Lepisosteus oculatus: one gene and its partners. The protein of the gene in region 2 purifies or fractionates together with the protein of the main gene of each other region. This does not show direct contact. Links are inferred from orthologs where the notes say so. Each region holds a gene or a part of one and is shown on either strand. Other genes may lie near its edges.

Region 1 (6,939 bases), on a different chromosome or scaffold from region 2:
TTTTTTTTCACTTCCACAATTATATTTGAATGTAAGTTCTGAAATGTAGCTGAATACAAGTTAATGTGTAAGCTAAAGATACATCCACTAACATTTAATTATTTTATTAAAGATTTTTATTGAATTAATAGCATTGGTGAGCCCCCCCCCCCCATATGTAAAACTACAAGTACTTTTTTCACCCACAATAAAGACTCCAAAAAGTTGTGAATAAAACAACTTTTTTTCACTAAGTATAGCACCTGGCCTGTGTTATTCACAATTTCACTGATTTGCATCCTTACCAGAAAGTGGTGCAAACAAGGCAGCAGGACAAGGTCTGTAAGGGTGAAGTACAGCCCCTCTGCAAACACATGCTCTAGGGCGGGCAGCTCAGTGGTCTTGACTCTCCTGATGTTAGAGGGCCCCCTAGTGGCTGACAAAGGTGTATCCTCCACAGACAGCTTGGCCAAGGCAGCCCTCAGCTCCAGCTCTTCCGAGTTCACTGACTCCCGGAATGAAGCAGGCTGGGTGGCAGAGCCTGCCTCTTCCTTCTGCTGCTGCAGTTTCTGCCGGCGGATCTTGTCGTCATTGTGGACCTTAACGGGCTCTTCCAGTTTCTTCTCCAGGCGCAAGATAGCGGCGGGTATCTCTGGATCTGGGCCTGCAGGCTGCCTGAGAAATTCCTCCACAGCTGAGGGGATGTTGAGCTCACAGAGCCGCGTCCATTGACTCACCTAGGCCAGAAATCAACACAGTTATTCCAGTAAATAGAATTCACTAACATTTCCCTCAAGACAGAGATACAGCAGCCCCATGTCCCCTTTTAAAACTATTATCATAATCACTGATGACCTCCCCTACCTATGACAGAAGTAATATAAGGTTTATCCTGGTGATGCAACATAACTACACCATACAAGTAGCAGAAAACAGACCTGTCATTTGTTCCTATAAACTAAATCAATTTCCATTGCAATGTAATAAATTACACTATCTGCATTTTCCATCATATGATTTAATATGATGACTACTGAAAGTCACACACAAAACAGAACAGACTACAAATGCCCCTCTAAAGCACATACCACTAAACAAAAGTATGGTAATAATAGCAGATCATGTCCATGTGAACCTCACAAATATAACCTGAGTGCTTGTTTGTTCTGGGGAGATGGGCGTCGAATGGGGTATACTTGTTCTACTTATATGTGTTCACTGTCATTCTCAGGAGCTATTTGTTCAGCAAGTTATCTTTGTTTAACATAAACCCGTTGTGTAAAATGCACTTTCCCCATCTCAGTTAAAAAAGACTTTTTCGTTTCGAACGTGCAGAAATGATTCAGTGAAGTATAATGAGTGAATACCATACTGCTTAAGATCAGGACTGTTTTTCTTCCCCTATTTATTGATGAACAATAAGCTGAAGTGATATGAGAAACTACCTTCGCTGGAATGGTTAATAAAAATGTAGTAGTAAAAAAAATTATCATCACAAGCAATACACCTACAGTAATTAGATAGTCAACAATACAGTCTAGCATATCTGCATTAATAAACAAGCAAAAGGAAAACAAAAGAATGAGATAACAGACTTACTTCGGCACAGGCTTTGAGGCAGGTCTTTTTGAAGCCCAGCAGGGCCGCTACATCCTTGCGGCTGGGATCTTCCTCGCAAGTCCTCTGAATGATATGTCTCAGCACTACGGCCAGGCCTGCTCGGCAATACCTGCCCTCCTCCTCCAGCACCGCAGGAAGGCAACAGCTTCTCACCAGCGCGGGCAGGTCCTGTTCGGAGACGACGCTGGCGGCCAGGCCCCCCGGCACTCGGTGCCTCCATGACTGCGCCGGGTCAGGCCGAGAAGGAACCAGGAAGACACGGAATAACTTGGAGTCACAGTACGACAGGAGAAAGAGCGTTATGGACGTGTGGAGAGGGAGAATGGCCTCTTCACTCTGGTCAGAAATGTCCAGGTAGAGACACTCTTCTCCCCTTTTTGAATTTGTGTGTTTCATTGCATTGGAGGCACAGCAATATACTCTGTAAAAAGAAAAGAATATTAAATGTTCACATAACAGCACAATAAGTCTGTAGGTACATTTATGTACTTATATTTTTAGCTTTATTAAAGTAGAAATATGGGCTAAACCTTTAGAGTACAGCCTCAATCTGTAAGACTCAATGACGAGATAGTGTGATTCTCAATAATTTTCTATACATACTCTACATACACAGGGTTTAACATTTAATATTCAAGAAGTGTATATGTAACATCTTTGAAACTATGCATAGGAAAAGTCATTGCAATGTGATAGTAAGCGAATGTTTTTCCTTTTATATACAGTAGCACTTTGCAAAACAAAGGATTCCCAAGTGCTTCATATATAGAAGGGGATCCACAGTCCACAACTGAAGAGGTGCACCTCTTTGAATTGGCTTCATTACTTTGTTCTCCTTCCCACTAATAGCTGATGTGTGGTGAGCGTTCTGGTGCACTATGGCTGCCGTCGCATCATCCAGGTGGATGCTGCACATTGGTGGTGGTGGAGGGGAGTCCCCATTACCTGTAAAGCACTTTGAGTGGAGTGTCCAGAAAAGCACTTTATAAGTGTAAGCAATTATTAATTATTATTTTGGGATATGTGGCAGTGCCACTCTACAGCAGATCAGGCATAGAAGTGAGAAATTGATTTCCCTGTTGAATTAATACAGAATTTAGGAAAGCCAAATTGCAGGACACAAGGATTCAAAAAATAACAGCCAAAGTCGTCTTGTGTGACTCTGTGTGTCTTCGTGATCTACTGTTTGGAATCAAGCAGACCATTTTAGAAATCCACCTCCTTTCTGTTAAGCAACTGCAACATCAGCACAACTGCAGACCAGTGCAAAACAGATGTCATGACCATTACAGGAAACGTCATTACACTGTTTCACCCAGGTCTCAGAAACGACACACCTAAAATTTAAAAGGGCACGTTAGTGGACTTATCGCAGGGGCATTCATAATCTGACCATATTACAGAGATTAATGATTAGGACTGATTTACAGAAAATCAGACAAACGTATGCAGGTCTGTTGTTTTGCCTTTACATTAGAAATTTACTATGACCTAAAACCAGATTATCTGACTCCTATTAAAAGCTTAACTCAAATGAGAAGCAGCAATAAAAAGCAGATGAATCTACAGAGCCCCCAGAAGAGAAAGACATGCTGTGACCCACACATACGTTCTGCCCAAGAGAAAAATCAGCGTGTCAATGAAAATATGCTACCGTTAAGATTAGTTCAACTTCACTGCAAATTTTTCATTTTTTAAAGGTGAGGAGTAAAAGATTCAACACCCTTCATGCGAATGCGATCAACATCAAATGTAACTGAACAAGCAGTTTTCAAGACAAGTGCACTAAAATTCTCTCTCTAGCCCAAGTGGACCCTAAGACACTATAACAAATCAGACGTTTAATTAAATTAAAATAGTTAAAATGACAACGACATTTCGTTTCATTTACAACATTTAACTTAAAAGTAAAAACATATCAAGAGGTATTTCTGTAGGGTTTTTATTATACAGATCTTGTACACATGTCTAGCTTTATAAACATGTTGCGCCTAAAAGAAGTTGTTGATGTTTATTATTATTTTACTGTTTGAATCTCTCCCATTCAATTCACCGCTTTTCTTGTTTGTTTTCGCAAGCGTCAAAAACGAAATCAGCTTACTCTACTCACAGCAAGCCTCTGCAGCTACAGTTCTCTTTGCACACAGTCACGCTGTTTCAAACCTTTTCTTCCTTGTGTCACCAAGAAACGTGTCCGTGTAACATCTCACACCCTTAACCGACGGTTGGGAAACGTCATCTTAAATTAAATAGTCGTTAAGTAGTTGGAAAAAATGGCACGTAAATGAATTAACTGTTTTTATTATATGATTTAAATGCTGATTAACTGTTTTATGAACGATCAAAAAAGTTTTTTTCCCCGATAGGGTACAAATATTATGTTTTGTTTCCCCCGAACACAAAAAGGGGAAGGATGGTTATAGATCATATCGGAAAGGGACATGCTCACGGCGTAAATTGTAAATATACGGAGCTATATATATATGTATAGGTATATAAATTGAACAGATGTTAGTTTGCATCAGTTTATTTTTGTTTTTTATTTTCGAAAAACAAAGGTAAGAAAGGAAATGCGTTAAAAACAAGAGGTGTTTAAATTACAGTTGAAATAAGTTTGTTGCAAGGTGTATGTATGTACTTCCGTCCAGATGACAGATTAGGAAATCTAGTAGCAATATTCCCATTCCGAGATTTTTACACCAGTGGTGATGAAGTGTAAAACTAGAGAGGTGAAGTAATATTTGGAAAAAAAGGCATTTAATCTCAAAGATTTTGTTATTGTGTAATACGTGTTTTTCTTTAGCAATAGTATATCCTGTGCTGCGGAGTAGTTGTACGGCTGGTTCCGGATTCTGGACAAAATAGTTCGTTCAGAATAGTTCTGAAGGGAATAAATCATACGAATAAATTAATCAAAAATGCTTATTTTTTTCCTTATGATATAAAGCGTTACCACCACTGGCTGTTAGATATTTATAAAAGGGAATACCAATGAATATTTTTGTTCATATAGAAAATATCAGTATCATGACTTAACTGTAATAGTATTAGGTTTTGAAATAAACGACAGGGCATTTCATTAATAAAATTTGGACGATCCAACTGGCAATTTACTCGGTGCGACTGTAACAGCATAACAGCATGTTTCATATGGCTGTGAACCAAGAGATTAATATCGTTTGTTACACTACAAAGTGACTATTCAGATACTTTTACAAATTTCCATTTGACCTCTGATTTTCTGAAAATAGGACAAAATGAGATTCAAGTCATAAAAATATATCTGCAGAAAAAGCTAAACCTATACATCCCTGACAATATAGTGCAGGCTTTTGGTGGAGGTGTCCATTTAGTAAGTAACTATTTAATATTAAATGCAAGCAGTCATTTTCTTATGTTTTCCAGCAGCTGAACAGGATTGAGGGAAATGTGGCCACTCTCTGAACCAGAAAAGAGATTAAATGATGCATAATGTTTTGTCAGTTAAACAGTAACAGACAAAGAAATGCATCAGCCTTTGGCCCTTCCTTCACGTTCAGACTGCACACTTAAGGTATGCTCTGTCACTGATGGCAACTCTCGCATCAAGACCCTTGCAGATTCATGTTGTATGTCCATAACAGCTGACAGAGATCATGGCTGCCACTGTAAGTCTGGAGCTGGACCCAATCTTTCTGAAAGGCCTTGGATACCTGCATTCCAAAAGCAAGGATTCAGCAGAGAAACTGAAGGCACTGCTAGATGAATCCTTGGCAAGGGGAAGTGATTCAAACTATCGGACCACGCTCAAGGTAACCCTTTGCAGAAAATTATGAGTAAGGCCTTACATTTGAGCCATGATGCACTAGTTTGTTGCAGAGCCATGACCTTGCTTTTTTTTTGAGAAATAACATTTTAAAATGTAACAAAAAAGGGCTTTGCCTTGTGTTTGAACCTTGTTTACAAAGGAAATCCTGTAATCTGGACACAGTTCAGCCTACAAGAGTAAAAGTAATCAAAGACTTGTCTTTAAAGAGTTTCACTCATTTTGTTCTGTTCTATTTTTTTTGTTGTTGTTCTTCACTGGCGTGTCCTACCTGTGGTGTGAAATCTTTCTTTCCCCAAACAGGAAGTGGAGGTCTCCAAGGTGACCGTTACGAAAGTGAGCTTGAGCAAGCAGGAGACAAAATCTTCCTCTAGCTCCTCTTCCTCAGGCAGTGGCAATGGCAAGTCAAGCAGCTCTGAAAAAAGCAAAAAAGAGAGTGAGAAAAGAACATCGGAGAAGGTAAACTGTCAGGAAAACGAGGAAAAAAAGGAAGATTCCCATTCATGAGGATGGCAAGCATTTGCCAGTCCTAGTTTCTAAACAACCACTATCTGAAGTTTTTCAGATACCTTGGGTTAGGTATCTCATTCTTAAGGTGAAACTGAGCAGGAATACATGAGTTGTATCATTAGCATGCAAAGCTTATGTAGACTGTTTCACATTTACACAATGTTGTTGAACATTCTGTGGCTTTTTTAATGGTTACAATGTTTTTAACCATCACTCATCTTAGGACAAAGGTCCTTGTGTTCTTATACTTAATGTATTTAAAAATTTAACCCAAATCAGTATTGTTTGCATATATAAATACTGTAATATGAAAAAGAATATTTTAATAATTACTACTTAGTAGAAACCCAATAGGAAACCCAAATCAGTATTGTTCGCATGTATAAATACTGTAATATGAAAAATAATATTTTAATAATTACTACTTAGTAGAAACCCAATAGGAAGTTTGCTATTGCTGGGTGTTAATTAAAATTGGGGGGCTCCTATGATACACGTGCCACAGTTTCACCTGTATTCTGTCATTTCAGGTTAAAGTGGATCCCGTTGATGCAATTGACCCACCAAAGAAACCTCGCCTGGAGAAGCAGGAGAATAGATCGTCTCCCATCACAGTTCAAACTAGCAAGGACCTCCCCATTCCTGATTTGTCCAGCTTTGACGAGACGAGTGCCGATGATTTTGCTATGGAGATGGGTTTGGCTTGTGTGGTTTGTAGGTGAGTAACGTCTCATTGCATACAGTATGAACAGCCTAGGTTGATCACCTATAGAACATAAAGTAATCTAAATAAAGCAAAGACGATCTTGTCTTTTATTACAGTTTTACACATTTGTATGTTTTAGTATATTAATAAATATTAACTAAACTGAAAAATAAAAATTGGCCTGCCATACTTTAATGGTTTTTTTATAATTTTCTTAGATTTTTCTAACCAGTATTTGGGAATAGAAGCTGGTATTTCACCATTCTGCGCATCACAGTTATAGAATACAAAAAAAAATTACTTCAGTTGGGATAGTACC
Region 2 (7,902 bases):
TAGCTAGATAGCTCCTAAATATTAGGAAAAACATGGTATCAACAAAATGAAAGAATGGGTAATACTATAAAGCTGAAGACACGATGCAGTTCAATAAAGTGCATTTTTCTAAAGGTTTTGTAGATTGCAATGAGTTGTTCCTCTACATAAATGTACAGTTCATTTGTATCCCACCAGTAATTAATCTGTGAATGGAATCACATACAAGATGAACAATGTGTATTCAACATGTGATTAGCAAGGTTCCACTTCTTAACATTCCTATTCACTTTCTATTAAGAATAAATACTTTCTCAACGCAACATTCGGAGGATGGATAAGCAGCTCTGTTGTCATTCTGCAATATGGGGCTCCATTAAGGGATGATACTGTTAACACTCTGAAACACTTTATTGCAGAAAATGTTTTTAACATTAACTATTGCACCAGCTTTGTGTTTTTATACCATATAATTCCTCAATTTCCCTTTGGGATCAATAAAGTCTTATATATATAATTCAAGTCCTTTTCTCTTTCTTCTGAAGCTTCAAATGTAATAGAAAGTACAATTTTAAGGCATGCAGATAACAGGTTCAGCTAATTAAGTTGAGCACGGTTCATTTTATTCTGTCTATATTTAGTACGACAGAAGACACTCGTGGCTTTCTTTGTCTCAATAGTCTGACTGATTGAAATGTAATTTCACGGCAATGAGTTTCTTCTGTTTTTCAGGTTTCTACTGATACACAGAGTAGTCGTCACAAGGACAGCAGTACCCCCGAATGAGCCACTTCCTTCCCGAATATGCAATGCAAACAACTCCTTGTATCTTGTTTTACAGGGATTTTTTCCATAAAAAACAATTCATAAAGTGATAGTGCCAATGCAGAATAAATTATGAATTTACATGAATACAATATTTGCTGCGTAGTTCTAACATAGTGCTAAACATTTGCAAATCACACAGCATTAATTCACTGAAAAGAACAGAATATTACCATCCAGAACCATACCAGTTGAGGAAGACTATGCAGTAGGGGCTATTAAATCTATTTATCTCTTTCTGTACATAACAAATAATATATACTGTAGATACGCAGTATCACATAAATTTCACATAAATTTGATATTTTATACCACCTTCCAGCCACAATGTTATTTTTGCTTTTACCTCAGAGTACCTACTTATAAGTTTTTTAATGTAGAACTTTATTTTAACAATTCTGTTATTGTTACTTCAAAATACTTCATAATAAATTCACATGGTCCGAGACTATTTGTGTGCACTATGCACAAATTGCTTCAGGTGCTTTATGGTAGCAAGCTGAAAATATTTTGGAACAGAAGCAATGCTCAGTGGTGTGGTATCTCTCACTGTGAGCCTTAATTAGAAGGTGGAGTTGTTTTTTGGCGTTTGTTTCAGCCTGCATCTTTTTGTTTTCCTCAGAAATAATTAGACTGTTGAGTTCAGAACAGTTAAGTTAAATTGCTTTGTGGCTTTTCTGCATATATTGTACTTGTGTACTCTGGAAAAGACTTCCAATGGGACCACCCATGAATCCATTGTTGGTGAGGGTCATGGCACCCTGGAGCTCATCTCAGAAACACAAGGCAGGGCTACATATGTGCTGGGACACCAATACAATATGGAGCACACATATCCACTTTGGGGGCACCCATTAACCTAGGAAGCATGTTGCTGGGGGGCTGGGAGGAAACCAGAGTACCTGCAGAAATCCCATGCAGGCTTTGGAAGAACAATCTCCACAGGTATGGGGTTCAAATCCAGGATTGAAGCCAGAACCCAAGAACTGTAAGGCAGCAGTGCTAAAAATTACGCCACATGTGTCTAAAAGGCATTTTGTCAATATTAGCCAAATACAATTTCTTGCATTAGGAATTCATCTTTTCACATACCCCAGCTTGCTCTTCATGAGACACAGAGGCACACAGACCAGGAGAGAGAAGCTTGGGATCAGAGCGCAGGGTCAGCCATTTATACAGCGCCCCTGGAGCGGCTGGGGTTAAGGGCTTTGCTCAGGGGCCCAATGGTATAGGATATCTCTGCTGGCCGCGTGATTTGAACCGGCAAACTTCCAGCTACAGACGCAGATCCTTAGCCACAGTTCCACCGCTCCACCCCTAGAGAAGGAGTTTGCCTGGGCCATACAGGGATCGAACCCGTGACCTTCCCTCGTTAAACATATCCATATCACATTAACATAGTTTCAAAATGTGAAACTGCTTATCTTGCTGGTTGTGCTTGATAATAGTTCTAACTATAAATAATAGTTAGCCCAGTGGTCCCCTCAATGGCCAATACAATAAAAATGATTAATGGGCCACACAGTAGTGCAGTGGTTATCATCACTTCCCTACAGCACTATGGCCCTGGGTTCAATTCCAGACCTGGGGTACTATCTGCTTGGTGTTTGAATGTATACACTGCGTCAGTGTGGGTTTCCTACCATAGTCCTAAAACATACAGGAAGGTTAATTTGCTTCTGGGAAAACTGGCACTAGGTGTCAGTGTATGACCTGTGATGGACTGGTGTCCCATCCAGGGTGTACCCTGCCTTGTGCCTGTTGCCTGCTAGAATAGGCTCCAGCTCCCCAGACCCTGAATTCGAAGAAGCGGTTAGAAAATTGATTAATGGATGATTAATTACTGATTGTTAAAATAAATAGTCCTGATCAGTATTTTTTGTATAAAGTTTTTCATACAATATTAACATATGCAGAGAATCACAGAGCCATTTAGTAATGCTCCTATCTTTTTTCTTCAATCTTTTTTTCAAATAATTTATCATTTTCCTTGCTCACATAATGTTCATGTAAATAAATATAATCCCATGCTTAAAAATATGAATAATTAGATTGCTTCTTTTTTGTACACCATTAGGTCATTTACTGCTGTGGCACTCTTTTTAAAGAAATGGGAATGTTCTTTGTTTTTCTTTAGTATTTAACCTGCTGATTCATGTTGCAGTGAAGAAGTCTAGCAAAATTTATTTTCTTGGCAGCTATTTACAGGAATAATAAATGACTTCATCTCCATGGGAAATGTCAATGCTTTAATTGTTGTGGTCACCTGGCCAGACTTTAAAAAAAGCTCTAAATAAATGACTTCATCCAACAGAACCACTGTTACCAGAGAGAAATGCTGTGGTTTCTCACTGTGACATGGTCATTGTGACTGGACTATTTAAAGATCACATTGTTTGTGTTCTACTGTGAAATAAAGGTAACTATAAATGTGACTACTAATGCACATGTATTTGCAGAAGATCCTCTTACAAAAGCTTTTTAAATGTAGATATTTCTATCACATATTAATACTCAGAAAAATCCATATAATTTTCTCAGATATCTTACTTTATGGTGTGACCTATTAATTTCATTGCAAATTAATATAATTGCAAGATACTGTGTACAGTATATATATATATGTGTGTGGTTTTTAATTTTCCGCACATATAAATTGGAAACTGGCAGACCTACTGTAAGCATCAGCATTTATGAAGGTGACAAGATACACAATCAACAGCAAGCCACTTTGTATTTATGGCAGGAATGCTGCGTATAATCATGCAACCAGGACAAAACAACAAAATCTAAGCTGGTACATCTGATGCCATAACGTCTCTTAACCATAGCTCTCAATTGGGCAGGGAAGTAATACAAAACAGACTCAACAATATTAGGACAGTAAGCTTAGCACATGAAACAAAACGGCTGTACTTTTTTCCCTTTTTGTTATTTCTTGACTTACTTGACAAATGCTTAAATATTCTAAAAGGCACTTTTTCACTCTCAAATATAAATATTTTGCAACCCTTCGGATGTAAACGTGAAACGTGTAAGACATGACAACAGTAATAGACCAATAACTAGGTTATGCAAGCAAATTACAGCTGACAGCCAAAGTTCAACAGCATGTCAGCATGTTTTACACCTTGTAAAGGCAACCATTCTACAGGTGCTGGGTAAATAGTCTTCTGTCCTTCTATATTCAGCACATTGTGATAGGAATCCATCAATGTAACTTGAAGTAAAACAGGTAATTTGAAAAAAAAAAAAGGAAATAGTCCTTAGAATTGAAGACGCACATTAAATGCGTAAAAAGAAAAAGCCTATCTGGGACCTAGACTGAATTCATATCTTAATATTGAAGCAGCCTTCTTCAAATACAACCGTATTCATTAACACAAATGTCTTATAACAGTATAAGACGGCTGTACACATCATTGTCTTGGTGATTAACATAATAATTAAAATGAAACATTACATCCATTACATCCATTTTAACATTGAATGGAAACTTGTCTTCAGAACGAATGTCTGACACTCATGGATTGTAGAAGATTTAAAAAACATTCACAAGCCATGACCGATTTTCAAGCGAATAAGGGGGATTAGGACGTTGTCAGTCAAAACCCTGCTTTTTGTTGAAATCGTAAGCAGCAAGTTATCTTTTTCAAAAAGGATTTTTGTGCTTGTTTATTTGCTTTCATATTGAGCTCCACAATTTTAATTGTGATGTGCTAATTATATAGAGTGAAGGGCTTTAAATGTTTGCTTTTAAATGTCCTACATAAAATGACATATTATTGTTTTAAGATTACATTCTCTGTTTTTTACACAGGGCATTATCCTTCTAAACGTGTATTATTTTACAGTGTAAATGTACATGTATTTCTGTACTGACTATAGCATTCAATCTATTTTATAACAGCTACAGTATTTCGGATAGCCGAGCTATAACACCTCCAAAGAATGGCGCGTATGGGTGTAACACGGTACTCAAAACCAGCAACATTGCCCACAACAGCGCTGCAGACAGGCTTACCACACTCCCAGTGCGGTTTTAGGCGGACTGTGTTTGCTTCCTTTTGGGACCGGAAGTGATCAGCGTCGTTCGTGACGTCAGGACGGCCATTAGGCAGCCGGAGAGGCAGGGGTGGGAAAGCGGTTGACTGACGTCTTCGTATTTCTTTTTTTATCTGCTTCAGTTAATAATTATAATTCCCACTTGCCGGGACTGAGTCTTTCCCTTCCCTCGCAGAGTAAACGGGGTTTGTAAAACAATAGGGCAGGGCGTTTTATTTTTTTCGTTTCTGTTTTATACTTAATCTTTTTTAGGGTAACGTTCAGAAATGGACGAAAAGGCGTTCACGAAGGAACTTGATCAATGGATTGAGCAACTCAACGAGTGCAAGCAGCTTTCGGAAAGCCAAGTCAAGACTCTCTGCGAAAAGGTAATTATTGTCTTTCTTCAGTACAACACAGAAATATGTCCATCTTAACTGGTGGAAAGGTGTATGGACGGGACGGTGTCGAGGGTTTCGAGCGGGTCCTCTCTTGCCCTGCATATACCGGCTTGTTAAGATGGCGGAGTGGATTGCCATTGGTTACCGATTCAAATGAATGAGGTATTATTCGTAAAAGCTCATTTGAAGCGGTATTTCAAGCATTTAACAGTTTATAATTCAAGAGTACTGAGCTGAGAAATAGACCTTAATCTAAAGCCTGCAGCAGCTCTGAAGGTGCAAGATATATAGGTTAAATGCATTGACTTAGGAACTTCTTTTAAAATAGAAAAAACAGCACTGCTGCCGGAGAAAGGTAGTTTAAATGATTAATATTTCGAACTGCCTGCGGACATCTTGGCACTGAATTGTTTGTAGCGGTGAAATTCGGCGTTAAATTGAATGCGTCGCTTTCCGATTGCTTTTTGCGATGGGCTGTAGTACATTCCTAAAATGGCGCCGATAGTTACACATAGCAGACTCCGAAAGCCGTGCAGGCTAACTGTGTTGTCCGGTAACGTAGCTATACGAAAAACGATCTCTATTTATCGTAGTAGTTATGCGTTTTTATCAGATAAGCACTTTGTCTAGGTTCCCTAAATTCGAGCAACGAGACCTCGGCCCAGTTTATTAAGGTATTTTGTTTTTGATGAGCCGCCGTATTCCGGTGTAATGCTGTAGCGGTGGTTTTTAGAAGCTGGCGTTCTTTCTTAACTTTCCTTGCTTTGTTTCTTGCTCAGAATATTTTTAAGTACTGAAAGGCAGAGTAGTGTTTACTTTTAAAACAACGCTTACAGTGGCAACTTCTGACTTAAGTGTAGCCTCACATGGAAGTTGAATTAGCTCGCCTTTAGCCCTTGGTGATTTTAAATTCAATAGAGGTATATTAATAATGATTGGTATTTTGTCTAGATTAAATAGTAAAATTATGGATTTTATTTTTTTCATTTGTATTTTAAGTTTATATGTAGTAGTGGTCAAGATCTGCTCTTTAGTATGTAAAACAACTCAACGTTTTGTAGGGCTGTTCTCAAATGTGAGAGTTATGAAGTGATGATCACTGTGACAGAATAAAGGGGACAGCCGAAAGAAGCGCCACTAAACGAAACAAGACCCCTGTCTTGGTGGGTAGCTGCGTCAGCATGCAAAGGAACAAGTAATAGGTTTATTCCATGCTGAAGAGCGAAAACACAACGTTTGACTGTGAAACCTTCTTCATGTGTGCAGGTGTGCCCTCTGTTTAGGTTGTGCATTGTTACAGTAAAGTTACCCATAAGGTTTTTGGACCCTTGAGAGTCGTTTTCCATCCCTGATCCTGAAGTACTCCTGTCTCTTCTGGTTTTCATTTCCAGTGAGCTGTCAGTCAGTTAAGTGTCTTGAATCTTTGATATATTTTTAACTATTTTTTGTACACAGGACTTTCACAAATGTTTTGTTGTTTCAATTATATATATCGAGAAGAACTATAAACTTAGTTTCAAGTGAATGTTCCTCTAAATTGGAATTCTGTGTTCTTATTACCCAGATAGTGACATTTCTAAGCATTCCTTGTGGAGCATGGCTCTATTTGTTAAATGCACCCAAGTCGCGGAGGCAAAGCTCAATGAGAGGAGAGTTGAACTTGGCATCTGGTACAGGTTTAATGCAAATTAAGCTTGTTGTATTATGTCTTGGCATGATGGCACAGTGGTTAGCATTGCAGCGCTCAGGCCCTTGGTTCAATTCTGGACCTGAGCTTCTATCTCTATGGAGTTTGTATGTTCTCCTTGTGTTTGTGTGGGTTTCCTTCGGCTGCTCCAGTTTCCACCCATAGTCAAAAAACATAATGTTATGTTAATGTACACAATGATGAGGATGGAGGATTTCCTAATGAGTAGGCCAGACTAGGTTTGGCTGCATCATGGTTAGTACTGAAAGGGGATCGTTTATTGTTAATCTTTTTCATACACTGCCAGACGTTAAAAATGAACTGTTTTGGAAGCAGGTCTGTGTGGACTATAGGGAGGACTCCCACTATATATAGTAACTTCTGGGTTTACATTTTGTATCTTGTCAAAAGACTCCTGTACCAAATCAAAAGAAAAGTGCTCTTAAGCTGTGTGCTTTCTTCCTGGTAAACTAATGAGATTCATGAGATTACAAATTAATCTAAGTTACTTTCACAGAGGAACATCAATGTAAACAAAGTGCTAAAATACTTATTATTGGCTATTATCATGTACTCTTTCAAGTGAGATTCAGTGGTTTTGTAGGTGGGTGATTTCATGTAAGGTGACTTTTGTGAAAGTTAAATGTCTAGTTCTGGGTCAAAGTTAACTGTCAGCACAAGGCATTTCTTTAAAATGTCTTTTAAAATTACCCTTCCCAGAACATGGTATGTAGTAAAGAATTATTTCCCTTGCATTTTTTATCAAGGGAGAGTCAATGTGTAGCTATAAAATTAGACAACAAATTTGGGTTTGGACCTTAGACTAAAGTACATTTTTTTAAGTTCATATATTGCTATTGTATATGTAGGGAAAAATGGAAATAACTATGTAAAGTTACTTAATAACATGTTAAGCCACCATGAGTGGCCAGTACCACCTTTATGCTCCATGGCATTGAGTCTGCT
Region 3 (7,032 bases), on a different chromosome or scaffold from region 2:
TGTGGTCTGGCTTCTTAAAATCGATATTATTGAGAGGAAATCAACAAATTTCATATTATGAGGCAATTTTATGATTTGAAACCTTAAACTACCTTCAAAATACAATAAACAGGCACAAAACACAGTCACCTTAAACATAATGATCTTACCCTTGCTGAAGCTATGAAATAAAGATATTGTTTTCATTAATGCGGACAGGGTGTCAAATGAATAAAATTCACTTTATGGAAACCAAAGTGGTATTTTGAGATATTTTAAGTATACGGTAAATGAACACACAAACACATTATATTGATTCATTCCTGAGGTTGAGGAACTTTTAATACAGAATTCAAAATAAACCAATATTAAGAGATTAGGCTAGCAATTTGTGCACAGAAGTGGGTTGAAGGCATTTGCCGAAGTCATCCATCGCAATATCCACATGGGACACCTCCACCACACATGCACACAAAATGGAAAATGTTCTAATAATTATAGATCAGTTTATTTCATCGCTTTATTTGATTTACAAAATCCATTAGTATGGACTTTGCATGGTACCCAAAGGAGGGTTACGCATATCCAACAAGAGGACGGCGATAAGCACTGACGGAAAGGTGATGAGATACAATGGGGAAAGTTAATACACTGGCAAAGTTCCCGGGGAATATAAAAGATAATTACAGTGATGAATCTAGACTTCTCAGGGAACAAAAAACATAAACATCCTCTGTGAAATGCAGCTGCAGTATGTGCTGCAGTCATGTGCGCTTATAGTAACTGCCTCCAACAAGCAGGGGTCCAAAAACACAACACAGCTATCTTGCTTATTGTTCATACACTGGCAGACAATCGTCATTTACCACTGTCAGCAGACTGCAACACCCCAGACGATCATCAAAGAACTACTGAAGAGAAAAATCAGAGCTGATCTCACCACATCTCAACTCAACAAAGCTGAGCCTGATCAATACTTGGGTGAGGGGGTTCTGAGGAAAATCAGGTTGCTCCTGGAAGATAGTACTCAAGTACAGCAGTTGGGTCTGTAAAATGAGTTGTAATGCATGTGCCACTGCTGGAATTTAAAGCAAAGGTTTGACTTCTATGGCTGGATGTTCACATAATGCCATTTGATAAAGTAAGGGCCCTTGTTATCTTGAAGGAGCAGCATTGTCGCCTTCTAGGCAGATATATGAAGCTATGCAGTTTGAGCCTGTTCATAGGAAACCCCAAAGAAAACCAGACTGCTGTTGTAAGTGGAATTGGTGAAGGAATAGATCGCACTTTTCCCTCTGGGCCAGAATTTCCAAACCAATGTCCCCGTATGGGGACCTGTTACAACTGTGCTCTAGGATTTGCTGACATTCAGATACTTGAAATAGAAGTCCTGACAAAAACCAAAGATCCTATGACATTTTTAGAAAAGGTAGGAATGTTGTCTAAAGTAGACTTTGATCACGTACAGTCTGGCTTTCCTAAATTTTCCTCTAAACTGAATTGGTGAGGCTGTTTCTCAACTCAATCCCTGAACTGCTGTATAGTGGAGCTGCTGGCACATGATTGCTGCCTAGGTGGGCACTGTGCTACACAGGTAGAAGAAGTGGGTCTTCTCCTGTATGTAAAGTGCTTTGAGATTTATTGGGTTAAAAGCCCAAGTTTCAAAGAAGTTTCCAAGCCTTGACGAATTCTAGTTTAGGCTTTGATGGTATTGTAACTACTAAAGTAACGTCTTGCAATGTTCACCTTATTTTCTGTAAGGGGATCTGCTGGCTAAGAATAGTACCCATGTACTTCGGCAAAGAACGCTATGCTGTAATTTTTGAGGAGAACAGTTCTTTATTATGGCCTTGGTAAAGAGTAATATAATCCCATGAAACCCATTTGTGACATGATCCAACAAGCATTAAAGTAAGCATAGACAGTGCCTATGAAATTGCCCATCGATATCTGAAGATATGTTAGTTAAATTCAAGTCAGGACACAGACCAGATCACAGAGGGTAAACGATGACAAAATGCAATGACAGTTCACCTAAAAGAAGTAAGTCACACACTGCTGCCAGTCAGTTTGGGAAGTGACGCAGCACCAATTTGTTAATGGCACCACACAATTGGTCAAGACAGATGTGATATCATAATTTCAGATCAAGGTGGGTTAGTGTCTTCAAACATGCCCTTTTTCCACCACCTGTTCTCCAAATGGGGGCAAGTTACAGCCTGGATACCTGTAGAAGTTCACGTTTACAAGTGGAGCATACGGCCCGTGACTCACTTTGGCAGACAGCCATTTAAAGGAAAGGCTGACTAGACATGCTGATTTTTCTTCAAGATACAAATGCAAATCCACACTGAGGTAAAATGGTGCGATTCTCTTTATCTCTGAACAGGTCTAACATTAACTGCATTATTTTCTGATCTTAGAGTCTAACTCCAGTACACCTCTGGAAATTATTGAACACAAAAAGTTTTCACAGTGTTCTACAAAGAGAAACAACAAAACAGAATTAGCAACACTCACATATGTCAAAACGTCCAGAACTGTGGATTTCGCAGTTATCAGTGAAGGATTCTTCACTTACTGTTGTATTTTAGACAACACAACATTGTTTGCTAAAGGTACAATGACTGCTCCATTCTGTACACACTATGCATTGAGATTTATTTCTAATTTGTACTGTACAGAGCAATTATCATAAGGTCACAATGATATGTAAGAGTCAAAACGAGTCAAAAACTGATTCATTCCAATTCATTTCAAACAGACAACTTTAATTTTCTTCTGTTTTTGATGCATCTAAACGATGCATTATGTAGAACAGCCCACTCAATATTCCCTTGATCTATAGCAATTAATTTGAACATATATTACTGAGAAAGAATGTGTTGATTCAATAAACAAGGTCAGACTAAATATACTTGACACTATTAGGACGATGATGAACATGAATGATAATCGTTAGGGAGTTAGTATTTGCTACTACAGGTCATACACCTCCGCTCGGTCAGACGTCACACATTCAGAAATGAGTTACGTCATTATACTTCAAGACCACCAAAACGCCCACACCGCCCAAAAGCTACCACATACTTGCACCACCAAAATAAACACACGTCCCAGGGTACAATGTTTACGGCTGCTGGAGTAAGAAACACCATCCACCCACTGCAACACCTAGCGTGCTGCACTTTAAAAATGTGTAAATTATGGATCATTTTAGGACTACTGCATTTCGAGTTGATAATCCAGAAGAAATGCAGGTCGCTTATTCTTCCCAAAATATGAATTAGTTTGCATTTTATAGACATGGCATCGTGATGAACATCTAGCTGACAATGCATTCTCAAAGGACATTCTGTGTTGAGAAGCACATACTGTGCGAACAAAAATCTGAAGATAACTCCCCCACTAAGCATAACACTGATAACACTTATGATAGTTAATCATGTTTACTTTTGCAGTTTCAAAAGACCTGGCTTTATGTTCAGATCGGAGTCAGTGTACACAAGCAACCAATACACGTTTCATTAAAACTGAAATACACCTGATCAAAATTCGACCTGTATATCATTCGAACAGTGTAAACTAATCCAGACGCTGCATATTGACACATAATTCTTACCTTTATCAGTTTATCTTGGGCCTCCGTCCACCACACCATTTAATAACAGGAATACAAATAAATTCCTAGAGTGATCCCGCGAATTTAGCACCGAAACAAAACATACACGAGTTATTTTTTGAAACCCTTGCTGTCCTTTTCCTTCTAATTTGATTTCAGTCAGAGACTAGACTGACTTGCCTTTGTCTGTCTGACAGCAGCCATATTGACATCAACATCAGAAAGCAGAATGAGGTTCGTCGGGAACCGTAGTTTCTCACAAAGTATAAAACCGAGTCCCTCTCAATCTGAAGCGACAGGCTTCCACCGAGAACTACAATTCCCGTTAACGTCATGGACCTACTCCCAGCGGGACTACAAAGTAGCGGCCGACAGAAACACTCGTCACACGTCGCTCTGCGTTCTGTTCCCTTTTCACCCTTTGCTCTAGCTACCCGGCAGTGAAAATTAAAAAATAAACTACATCTCCCAGAGGAGGTGACCACAGGAAGTATGTTGAAGTGAACTATCAACTTTGACTCTTGAAATCCAAAAGATTTGGCGTGGGGATTGTAAATATATACTGTACATCTAGGTCATCTGACATAACAATTCAGGATGAAACTAGTGAGTATACAATTAAGTTATTTCATTTCTTGTTGCAAAGTCCAGGCTGCAATAAGCATGGGTCAGTTGAATGAGGGAACTTTAGAGAAACTGGAACGTTTTTTATGTTATTAGCAGGAAAAGGTGACTGAAGTTCGTTTGGACAATTCACGTTACATTTTACAAAAGCTGGACACGTGTTGAATAGAAATAATCTAATGTTTACCACTTTACTAATGTACAGTATATGCATTAAGGAAAAGACTAGTGCACGCAAAACCTGACGTATTAAGCTTAGTGTCCTGGTTTAATTCAGTTTTGGTTTATTTTAAATCTGGCCTTTCTGCAATTGTTTTAATTCAGATGACAAAGCAGTTTCGTACTTCTTCACATTATCTATTGTGTGTAATCAAATTGCTGCACTTTAATAGATGGAGTCGGTCCCTTTCATAAAGCGCTTCACGTCTGCAAGTAATTATTTTTATATAGCACAGTGTTGCTGAACGATGAAAATAAGTACAGTTCAACGTCATGATGTTTTGCAAGCAAATTTAGTATTTTACTGTTCTGTACTTTGTTTTGTACTTACAGGAAAAGATTTGTTCACCGCTTTAAAAAAATGTTCTTCTTTTACGTAATCAATTGTAAATGGTTCGATGTCTGTTCCAGTTTGTCTGATGGACTGTAATAAATCAACTTTATCATGTATGTCATCACTAACGTCGTGTGAATAAAGAAGGAAGAATATCCCAGTAGTTGGATTTAAATTTAAGAATTGAAGCTCATAAAAAAAAAACATTTTTCTGACATAGCTTATTGATAAATACTTTTAAATGCAATTGCCTCTCATGGTTTAAAAACATGATGTGTGTTATCCTGTATTTGTGTAGTACTGCTTGTCTGGTCATCCAACCTTGCCCTGCAATGTCCTCAAATTCAAATCTACAACCATCATGCTGGACTGTGGGCTTGACATGACATCAGCGCTGCACTTCCTGCCTTTGCCTCTAGTACATAGGTAAGACCATCAACAAAAAAAATAAAAATACAGTCTTCATAGTAAAATTCACACATGTTATTGGTGAAACGTTTTTCAAAGAACAGCATGGTGACACAGTATATAGCATGTTTGCCTCCCAGTGCAGGGGTCCTGGGTTTTAATTCCTGGCATGATCTCTGTGTGGAGTTTACATGATTTTTTGTGTTTGCGTGGATTTCCTGTGGGTGCTCCGGCTTCATCCCGTGGTCCAAAGACATGCTGGTAGGTTCACTGGCTTCTGTAACACTTGCCTTACTGGGAGTGTGTGCCCAGCAATGAGTTGGCATCCCATCCAGAGTGTAGCCTGCTTTGTGCTCAGTGCTTCCAGGGATAGGCTCTGGAAGGGCCACTGTGACCCTGAATTGGACGGGCAACTATTGAAAGTGATGATGTTGTGATGTTTTACAAAGGAATTTGGCATATTCTTCTTGTTCTATGTAATTTTAATTTCCCAGAAACATCCTCAAAATTGAGTGAGTGTTATCTTTTAAATATAAAGTTGACCTAGCATGTTCTCCCTTTTTCCTTTGTGAATTGTTTGTGGAGAATAAGTAAAGAGGGTTGGATTTCTTCAGGAAAGCCAAGATATTTTACAAAGCTGTTAGATTGAGAGGATAAAATGTGATCTGATGGTTGGCTGAAAAGCCCACTTCTCCTATGGCGATATTTATATAAATCAAACCACTCTAAACAAAGACCCTGAAGATTTGTTGGAGCGTGCGATCTAGTTGTTTTTTTTATTTGTAGACTTTACAATTCCTCGCAAACAACTGGACATCCAAATAGTGGAGAAAAAATAAAACAGTCAGCATTTGTAAAATAATTATAATGCTTATTTGGAAATCAACATTTTAAAAACCTGGAGCTTGAATGAACAAAGATTTGGTTAGAAGTATAGAAAAAAACAATCTAAAAGAAATGGCCAACATTCATTGTCAAAACTCATAGTTTTGTTAGTTTCAAGTAAAATGAGCTGTATCTAATTTTTGGTTTCACATAAAGACATTTGTTTGTTTAGTTAAGTAATGATAGATCTTGATTTTGTTCACAAATCTTGATGTTACTTTATTGTAATATAATACAAATCAAGTCTGTTTAATGGCAGTGACAATGAAAGTTATAAATACAAGACCTTTAAAAATTGTTTATGTTCCTTGTTAATGTTTAGAATTGTAATCACTACCACTCAATTGCACTAGTCATTAGCTGTAATTTGCACTCTAGTGCTGTATTTTAAATTTAATTACAGCTCAGGTTTGGAGTCACTCGATGGAAATATTGTAGTTATGTAATTCTTTTATTTATCAATAAACAAATCACATACATAATTGGTTTACAAAAAGAGGAGAGATTGGGTAGTTTGCATTAGGTAGAACATAATAATAATTTCTCTGACATTTTTTTTGTGATTTAATTAATGCATAACAAAATAGGGCAGCATTATTGTGCAGTGATTAGAATTTCTACCTCGCAGTGCTGGGGCGTTGGGTTTAGTTCCTTGGGTGCTATCTGCGTGGAGTTTGAATGTTCTCCCCGTGTTCACATGGGTTTTCCCTGGGTGCTCTAGTCCAAAGACATACTGATATGTTAATATTAGCCCTAGTGTGTGAGTGTGTATGTCCTGCCGTGGACTGGAGATCCATCCAGCATTTATCCCACCCTGTGCCTGTTGCTTGCCAGGGTAGGCTCTCACTCCAGTGACCCTAAATTGGATGAATTAGGGTGGACTATGCAAACATGAAAGCTTGATATTTTGTATTCTAACATTTTTATTAACTATTATTTTTAATGTATTACTCTTTAGCTG

Evidence for each region.
Region 1: the proteins of ppp2cab (region 2) and ints12 purify together in Homo sapiens (affinity purification with mass spectrometry; 4 studies listed by BioGRID and IntAct, with this or other methods). This does not show direct contact. The link is inferred for Lepisosteus oculatus from reciprocal best matches to the Homo sapiens genes PPP2CA and INTS12.
Region 3: the proteins of ppp2cab (region 2) and ints9 purify together in Homo sapiens (affinity purification with mass spectrometry; 3 studies listed by BioGRID and IntAct, with this or other methods). This does not show direct contact. The link is inferred for Lepisosteus oculatus from reciprocal best matches to the Homo sapiens genes PPP2CA and INTS9.

What each region holds. Positions count from the first base shown.
Region 1 is NC_090696.1:65,283,794-65,290,732, reverse strand, and holds the start of ints12 (integrator complex subunit 12), read left to right. Parts: upstream 1-3,934; 5' UTR 3,935-4,157; intron 4,158-5,004; exon of another isoform or gene 5,005-5,007; 5' UTR 5,008-5,234; coding exon 5,235-5,390; intron 5,391-5,707; coding exon 5,708-5,863; intron 5,864-6,444; coding exon 6,445-6,632; intron 6,633-6,939. Other genes in the region: gstcd (glutathione S-transferase C-terminal domain-containing protein), read right to left, coding at 285-716, 1,579-1,995. UniProt on the Homo sapiens protein: Component of the integrator complex, a multiprotein complex that terminates RNA polymerase II (Pol II) transcription in the promoter-proximal region of genes.
Region 2 is NC_090706.1:23,920,520-23,928,421, forward strand, and holds the start of ppp2cab (serine/threonine-protein phosphatase 2A catalytic subunit alpha isoform), read left to right. Parts: upstream 1-4,900; 5' UTR 4,901-5,135; coding exon 5,136-5,237; intron 5,238-7,902. UniProt on the Homo sapiens protein: Catalytic subunit of protein phosphatase 2A (PP2A), a serine/threonine phosphatase involved in the regulation of a wide variety of enzymes, signal transduction pathways, and cellular events.
Region 3 is NC_090697.1:60,386,303-60,393,334, forward strand, and holds the start of ints9 (integrator complex subunit 9), read left to right. Parts: upstream 1-4,027; 5' UTR 4,028-4,198; coding exon 4,199-4,207; intron 4,208-5,076; coding exon 5,077-5,204; intron 5,205-7,032. UniProt on the Homo sapiens protein: Component of the integrator complex, a multiprotein complex that terminates RNA polymerase II (Pol II) transcription in the promoter-proximal region of genes.